Coturnix japonica: one gene and its partner. The protein of the gene in region 2 interacts with the protein of the main gene of each other region in a pairwise test. Links are inferred from orthologs where the notes say so. Each region holds a gene or a part of one and is shown on either strand. Other genes may lie near its edges.

What was found.
Region 1: the proteins of ATF2 (region 2) and ATF3 interact in binary tests that used the Homo sapiens proteins (3 or more experiments, as listed by UniProt). The link is inferred for Coturnix japonica from reciprocal best matches to the Homo sapiens genes ATF2 and ATF3.

The regions. Positions count from the first base shown.
Region 1 is NC_029518.1:19,272,160-19,276,595, forward strand, and holds the start of ATF3 (cyclic AMP-dependent transcription factor ATF-3), read right to left. Parts: upstream 2,817-4,436; 5' UTR 2,680-2,816; intron 2,350-2,679; exon of another isoform or gene 2,105-2,349; 5' UTR 1,746-2,104; intron 1-1,745.
Region 2 is NC_029522.1:14,857,147-14,860,960, reverse strand, and holds part of ATF2 (cyclic AMP-dependent transcription factor ATF-2), read right to left. Parts: intron 3,314-3,814; 5' UTR 3,292-3,313; coding exon 3,244-3,291; intron 1,581-3,243; coding exon 1,484-1,580; intron 73-1,483; coding exon 1-72. UniProt on the Homo sapiens protein: Transcriptional activator which regulates the transcription of various genes, including those involved in anti-apoptosis, cell growth, and DNA damage response.

The DNA of each region.
Region 1 (4,436 bases), on a different chromosome or scaffold from region 2:
CCAATTGTGCAGTTCCCTGTTTGCTACTGCTGTGACATGGCAAGAAGTGGTTGGGGTCACGTGCCTTGACAAGAAGATAGATTTCGCTCAGAGATATCTAAAAATATACTGTAAATCCACATCGGTGCAAATTGGAGTAGAACCCAGCTCCTCACTAAGCGAGGTAAACACAAAAATCCAAGGGCAGTGAACTGCCAGCAGGTAGAAAACCACTTGTCCAGCTGCAGAGGTTTCCTCACTTTGAGTCTCAATGACCACAAAAGAGCCAAAGATTTCCCACATCCCAGGGGTGAAACGCTGAAACCACTGAAATCAAAAGGAGTTTTGCTGTTGACCTCAGTGGGGCCAGGATTTCACCCTTGGTTGTTAAATATGAGGAAATAATTAGGAACAATTTGTTATTCAGAAAGACCTTGGGAAATTTATGTAATTCTCTTCAGAAAGCCCCTGCTCATGAGTCACATTTAAAGTGCCGATACATTTTAATACTATAATCTCAGAAAGCCACCAGTTACTTTTTTCCCCCCGAGTCAGAAAGGCCCTGTGATTTCCAGCTGAACTGCTGGCATTATTTAGCACTTCCCAACACTCAGCCGTTCAGCTCACTGAAGCAGCCAGACTCCGTGACACTGAGCCCCCACTGTTCACACAATTTGGAGCTGTGCTCCCTGACCGTCGGTCTGCTCCTCTCCTGCTGCTGCCTTCATTCAAAACACTTAATTCCATATAACTCAATCAAACCAGGAGATTTCAATTAACAATAAAACCATTTCTCCAGCACATGGAATAATTAATTGGGCCAAGCATTTCTCAGCATGGTGGGAGGGTGGAGGGGGGGGAGGTTATTCGTTTATATTTCAGTTTAGGTCAACTTTAATTAAAGTCAGCGCCAGAGGAAACGAAGAATGCCCGTGTTTTAGTAACGTGCCTGAGAGTTGCTCTTATCTACCAGGCAGTGCTATTCCTACAAGAGCTAAGTGCACCACGACCCCCAGTGCAACCCTACTGTAATGTCCTCAGGTATCTATTGATCCACTTTCAGTTTATAAAAACATGGAAGGGAGGCTGTCACTGGGAAGGGAAGCCCAGAAAGAGCAGTGCCCTTGTCTGCACGAATCGTTGACCTCCCAGGCACCCTGACAGCGTCTCCCTTTACCCATACTTTGGAGCGGGGGCCCTGCCAGAGGCCAGGCAGGCTGGAGGGGTCCTGTCCCCAGCCCACCACAGCTGGCAGGGCTCCTTGCCCCACGCTGACTCTCCAGCGGGGCTGGGGCCGGTACATGGCATGGCAGGATTCCTTCCAGTGCACGGCTTTGGTGGTCGGGAGTGACAGGGATGTCAAAAATAATTAGCCTGTGCTGAAGCCAATAGTAAGCCAAACAGATTGGCTTTCCATAACAAAAGGTAGATGTTTTCCAGTTTCTGAGGAACAGATCTACTTTTAGAAATGCGTTATGAGGATGGAGATTAGATTTTCCTAATAAACATAAACCGCAGCAGTTTGCCCTTTCTTCTCCCAACTTCTGCACAAATTGTTCCTCTGTCTGTCAGCTTTCAAGAGTGTCATGCCGCTCTTCCCTAGGTCTGCACAGCAATAGGGATATCTAGCCTCAAATTGCAGTTACATCTGGGCTTCCTGATCCTATCTGTTTACTTCATTAGACCGTGCACATGGATGGCAGCTCCGGTCTATTTTGAGGACTTCTGAAGTTACTGGAACTGAAGGTGTCGAACATTTCACAGACCTGACCCATAAAGGCACAGCTTGCTCCCGCTGCGAGCTCACGCTTCTTTACTTTATTCTTAGTTTGGCAATTCCCCGGGGAACATTTCTGCTATTGCTGGTACCTTCGGCTTCAGGTAGATTCAATCAAGTCTGCTCCCGTCACTATGCTTTGTTTGTTCTTTTCTCAGCGGCTCTTTTCATCCTCACCAAATCTACCCATCTCCTCTGCCGATGTTTTCGCTTCGGCACACGATTCCTAGCCGTGCACTTCTGTTAGTTATGCGTATTCCCGAACGACTTCTCGGAGTCTTTCCGCTCGGCTGCTGACGGCTGACCTCTCGGTTTTGCTTCTTCTCATGAATTCCTTCTCCTCTGGTGCTGATGCAACAAACGCCGATAACCATTGAGGTTAATCTTAAACAGCATTAAGGGCAATTACAGTTCACAACCTCCGTGCACGCCGGTTGACCTTAAGCTTTCTGACATCCCACATCACTCCCGAACCACTTTCCGCCGGCATCCACCCGCTCAAAAGCCAGAAGAACCCATTTCGAACGGGAAGCTACTTCTCTCTAACAACTTTTCTATCGAGCCACGCCTGCCTCGCTTAGGCGAGACTTCAGCAGCCGGTCTCCGTGTCGGACATCGGCACAGAGAAAGAACCGCGCGAGTCCCTACCGCTTTTCCTCCCGGTGGTGCGGGCTGCCCGGCGCCCCGCAGCCGCTCCTCGGCGCCCCGTTGGCGGTCGGAGCGGCGGTCGGAGCGGCAGCGCGGGCGGTCACGGCCGGCATCCCCCCGGCGCCGAGCCCCGCGCTGCCCGCCCCCGCGAGGCGCCGAGCGGCACGGCCGGCCCGGGGCAGCCGCTCGGGACTCCGCTCCCGCCGCACCCCGGGAGCGGGCTCCTCCGCTTTGCCGGCTCGTCCCTCTCCCCGGAGCCGTCCCGCGGTTCCTACCTTGGATCCGCCGCCGGCCGGGGCTGTTCGCCGGCCCCGCCGCGCCCGCTCTTCCTCCCGTGCCCGCTCCGCCGGCGGGAGAGCAGCGCCCGCTCGCGCTCCCCGCGCCTCTGCCTCTCGCCGCGGTTGCATCACCCCCCTTATATAGCCGAGCGGGTAGAGCTGGTATTTACTCTGGCGGCGAGTCCCGGGCTGATGTCATGCTATTAATAGCTCCCGGAGGGCGGGCGGCCGGGCGGGGGGGCAGCGGGGCCCGAGGCGGTGATGCAAGGCTTTCCCATTGCACGGAGGGCGGGGCGGCGCGGCCTCGCTCTCCATAACAGGAGCTCACCGAGCCGGGCCGGGCCGCCGGGACCCCGCGGGACCCCCTCCCCCAAGCGGCGGAGCGCCCCGTGCCGGCAGCGACCCGCGGGACGGCAGCGCCCGGCACCCGGCACCCGGCACGGGGCCGTCCTCCCACGGCGCTTTCTTTTCCCCTTCCCTTTTTTGTTTTTTTTTTTTTCTTCTTCTTTTTAACAGACTTCAGGGGGCGTCCCGACTTCTCAGGCGTGCGGGACTTAGCCGTGCTGCTTTATCATAAATCAGAGTCCTTCTCACGGCTCGGAGACGGTCAAACTAAGTGAAGGCAGCGCGGCTTTCGAAAGGACTAGAAAACGGGAGCCCTTTTCGCCCCCAAACTGTTGAACGCCCCCTCCCGAAAAAAGCCGAACCACCCCGCGCTCGCTCCGTGCCGCTCCAGCTGACGGCCCGAAACGCTTCCCCGTATCGGGGCGGGGGGCTTCAGTTCTTAGCCCGAGGAAACGGGGAAGGAGCCGTTTAATTAAATTCCAGAACGCTGAAAATAAATAAATAACTTCTCCCCTTCAAACGGCGCAGCACGCGATGTCGTTCTGGTTTCGGGGATAACCGGAGACTCCCCGTAGGAGGCAGGGGAACGTGTTAGTGGCGGTGGTGAAGGGGTTTTGTTTTGTTCTTTTTTGTTCCCACAGCTTCCTGGTTCGGTAAGTGACAGCAATTGCCTTCCAAAAACGCTAGAAAATAGACGTATCAAAAAAGCACCTATCCGAGAGCGCGAGGCTCGCAGAGATTTGCACAGAGTTATCCAATACGATAATACTCCATCCTCGGTTCATACAGACTTGTTCTCTTTGGGTCTCCCTGCTAAGAACGGGAAGAGCTTGGAGACTCGTTTATTCACTTACAGCACAGACCCCGATCAGCCCTTCAGGCAGTTAATTCATTTTGCAGCGTTCACGGGGCTGCATTTGGTAACGGGTAACACGTCTCGAGTGGGAAAAGCTGGCACATATCGATAGCTTAGAGCATTTAACCGAGGACACGGATTTCTAACATTAGTCTGAGCCCGTCCGTACCTCACCTCTGTGCGCTGTGTCCACACGGGTGTATGTGTGCATACATCAACTCACACGCTGACCACCCAGATGGGAAGCGTACTCTCAGCTTTTGAAATGTCACCGTGCTAGCACGCTCAGCTCTGCAAACACAGCGTTCCTATTTCAAATTTAATTGCCTGCCTTGGGGGGGAAAAAAGAAAAGCAGGCAGGTCGGTGCTGCTGGCTCTCCTCCTGCACAAGGTGCGGCTGCTGGTGCTCCCCAATGGTTCGGTGCACTCTGCTGGCACAGGAGCCAGCCCTGACCCACCTGGCAGCTGCTCCTGCTGGAGGCTCAGGCGCTCACCTAGCGATAAATCAAGCCGAGTTCTTTCAAAACACGGTTATTTCTTAATCTAGGTAAAT
Region 2 (3,814 bases):
GACTTGCTAATTCATTGAATAAGCCCACTTCTTCACAGTTCTTCAAGAATCGAGTTGGTGTTGGTGTCTGATCTGAAATCAAGTTTACACAAAGCACATGATTTTACTTTTAAAATACCATGTGAGAACAGATGCATTGTAAATAATTTTCAGAGTCAAAGGAGACAGCACCAATATATCAAGATATTGATTTGTAATTACATGAATACATAGCTTTCTCTAAAAATAATACAGGTTACCTGAAGAACAGTAAAAACTATCTGAATGTATTCAGATAATTATTCAGGAGCCTCAGTGGGTTTTATGCTACAAAGGATTTCTTCTAACTTAAAATCAAGAAGATACCAGGGAAACTTATAAATTTAAGAAATCTGTACTTAGCCTACATAAAGATGACACCAATGGGGTTATTTATTTTAACTAGCTTTACAGTTGACGGATGTATTAATACTTCAAGTTATTTAGCAATTCACTTTAAAATTACTTCACTTTGTCCAGAAAACTAAATGTATGAAAAGTGAGGCTGTTTTTATATGTTTAAGATGCACTTGCATTCATGTAAACTGTTAATTAGGTACATATTTTGAAGACTGATTAAAAGAAAAAAACCTTAAAGATCTGTGTTGATTTTCTCATGATGTACAAATAATCAATGTGGTTAAGAACACTTTGCCTTGAAAGCACGCTTCTTTCTGCCTTGCAGGAAAATAAGCCACAAGGCATACCCCACCTGCTGGAGACAAGTAGTTTGATTTTGCAGACCACAACCCCCTAACAGTGCTGGAAGGATCAAAGATTTCTTCTGTCCACGTCGATCAACCATATGCAGCATTTCTCAAATGCCAGCCTAGCACACCACATCACTCTGGTGAGCAAGCAGGCTCTAGTTTCAAAGGCAAGATGTGCATTCATAGCTCACAGTTTCTTTCTTATATTATGAAAATGAAAGGAATCAATACCAAGTGAGCGAAATGCAATAATAGGACATATGATATTGGACAAAATACTTAATTGCCTCCCGTAATGCCTGTACAATTGAGCTGCAGTTTTAAGACTTCTGGCACCTTGATTACTACTGCCTGAAATAGTTTCAAAAGTCTTTCTGTAAATTTACTATGTAAATTCCTCTATTTCACTACTATTACCAGGTAATTTGACACACAGCAACTTCAACTGAAATATCATTAGCGTTATTACATGCATCTTCACTAACATAACCTAGCAGTTATGACTACAGTTCATGCGCTGGAACATAATTGCAAAGAGACAGAATGTCCTCATAGTTTCATTCTCACACACCTGATAACAGAGAGTTAATAGTACAGGAAAACATTCACAAAACACTTCACAGACAACTACAATGAAGAAAATATTTCAGTTTCATAATGCACATCTACTGATTAAGTACAGAAAACAGACCAAAATGAATGCACATACCACCATAAAATATGAACAAACTAGTTATAAAAAATTATATACTAACCAGCCACAATGACACTATCATTACGAGCCGGACCAAATTTCAGTGTCATCTCATGTTTATGTTTGTGGACAGCCAAATGATCCTCATTGGTAAAACGCTGTGGCAGAAAGATGTAAGAAACACCATTTTGAATACAAACACACTAAATACAGTTCCACAGAAAGTCACTTCCATAACATGTAGAACAGCTGTTACCAAATTAAAAGACAACTCTTTGGAGTATCTTCCTTGTTGGTCAACAAAACCAGCAAAAATATGGTAAAACTCAAATAATGTTCACAGTAACCAAATAGCAGCAGTATCAGCAAAATGGCAGTGTAAGTACCTGCAGTCATCAAAAGGCCATGATAACATTTCAGAGTGCCACAGACTCCATCAACCATCAGCAAACAGCCATTCGCTATGTTAACGGATCTTGGCAGTGTTTAGTAATTGATTACCACAATGTGATACCTGCACTGTTTGGTGTAATCACAGTTATGAGAATTGATCTCTAATCACAAACATAGACTTACTGTATTTAACAGCAAAATAACAAAATAAAACGTAACTCCTGCCCCTGACAGTTTACTAATTAACGCAAGGCAGATGGAATGGGAAGTAATGCTATATCATCAAACCACTTGAATGGCTATGAATTATCAAAACTTATCACAATTTTAAAAGCTCCCAAGTTTTCAGAAGTATCCCAGCAGTATTTTGCACACTCTTCCACAATTTAGGGTACACTACATGAAGGAAGCAGCAAGCAGACAAACTACATGCTGTACAATAGATTATTTTTCCTTTAACTTGGAACTTGCTATGCTGCTTTGACTGTGAGTAAAGTTAGTAATTCATTTGACATAATCTAAGAAAAGTCTTCCCAAAACATGTTTCTACACTTGAAATATGAATAATGAAATATGAAATGAATGAAATACTATAACTCTTACTTTTGTGAACACCTGGGACCCACACATCAATATAGAGGAAAAAAAATGCAGCTGGTTTAAGAAATTGGTTCTATACAAAAGGCAGCAGGAAAGTCAACCTCATGCAGCACATAATGTAAACTGACTCATTTTCATGTTGCTAAATAAAAAACATTTTATCTATTAAAACACTAAAGTGTTCATTAACTATTTTTTGTTGTTGTTTTCTGTTCATTTAGTGCTACATCTACTAATAATACTTCTAATACAATGTATTAGAAGTATTAACTAATAATACTTCTAATACAATGTATTAGAAGTATTATAGCATTTTGTAGCATGCATAATGCTAACACTTGCCTTTATTTAAAAAAAAAAAAGCATAAATAAATATTATTCTATTAAATTTTTGCAGTCACCATTGATGGGAAGATTAATCAGTTTTAAACCACTGAGAAGTCAAAAAACCGTGAAATTTAAAACACTTATTACACACAGAAATCCTGCAAGTTTCACAGTGAGCTCCTCATTAATGTTGAAATATACTGAAAAATGTAGGTTACCTACACATTTATTGGGTGTGTATATAAACACGTGTACACTTCTTTACAGAAACAAATAAGACAGGCCTAAGAAAGGAAACTGTCTTCATTATATGGCTATTATTTTTCTGAACAAACTGACAATTTAAATGCCAGAAATTCTTGCTGCCACCTGCTTTTCAGCAGAACTGGAAAACATGGGTACTTTCTATCAATTAAGTCATTTTTCTTCAGTCCCTGGAAATATGTTTCACTGATTTACTTTTATTCAACTGTCATTAATAACTTTGAGTCAGACCATTACCTGGCCACATCCAGGGGCAGTGCATAAAAAGGGTTTGTCATCACTCATATTCCACAGGTCGTCGTGCTACCTGTACCAAAACAACAGTAGAAAGCACGTTACAAATATTGCAACAAGTTATCAGTACATCAACATCCACGGGAAATTTTAATACTCTATAAGCAAGAACTGCTTTCTGACTGCACTATGAATCTAAATATCCAGCATGGGAGGAGCACCTGGACAACAAACTCTGTAAGTTTGTAGCCAAAATCAAACAGATTTTAAATGTGTACCTCAGTTGGAAAGGCAAGTGTTTGCACACAATGTAATCAACTGCAAAAGGCATGTGAAAACATAGTAAGACAGTTTGATACTGAAACAAAAGTATCTTGTAATAGTTACCCAACTCCCTTCACCCCCTGCCAAGAAAAGCACAAAGCGGCAGATAAATAACGAGTACTCAAGACCACAGTGCCAACAGATGAAAGCGGTTGATTAGATAGTTTTCTTCATAATCATGTAAACTTTTTAATAATCATCTATTTTTTTTTTCCTCCATGCAAAGCAAAGCTAGCAGGGAGCCCATTAT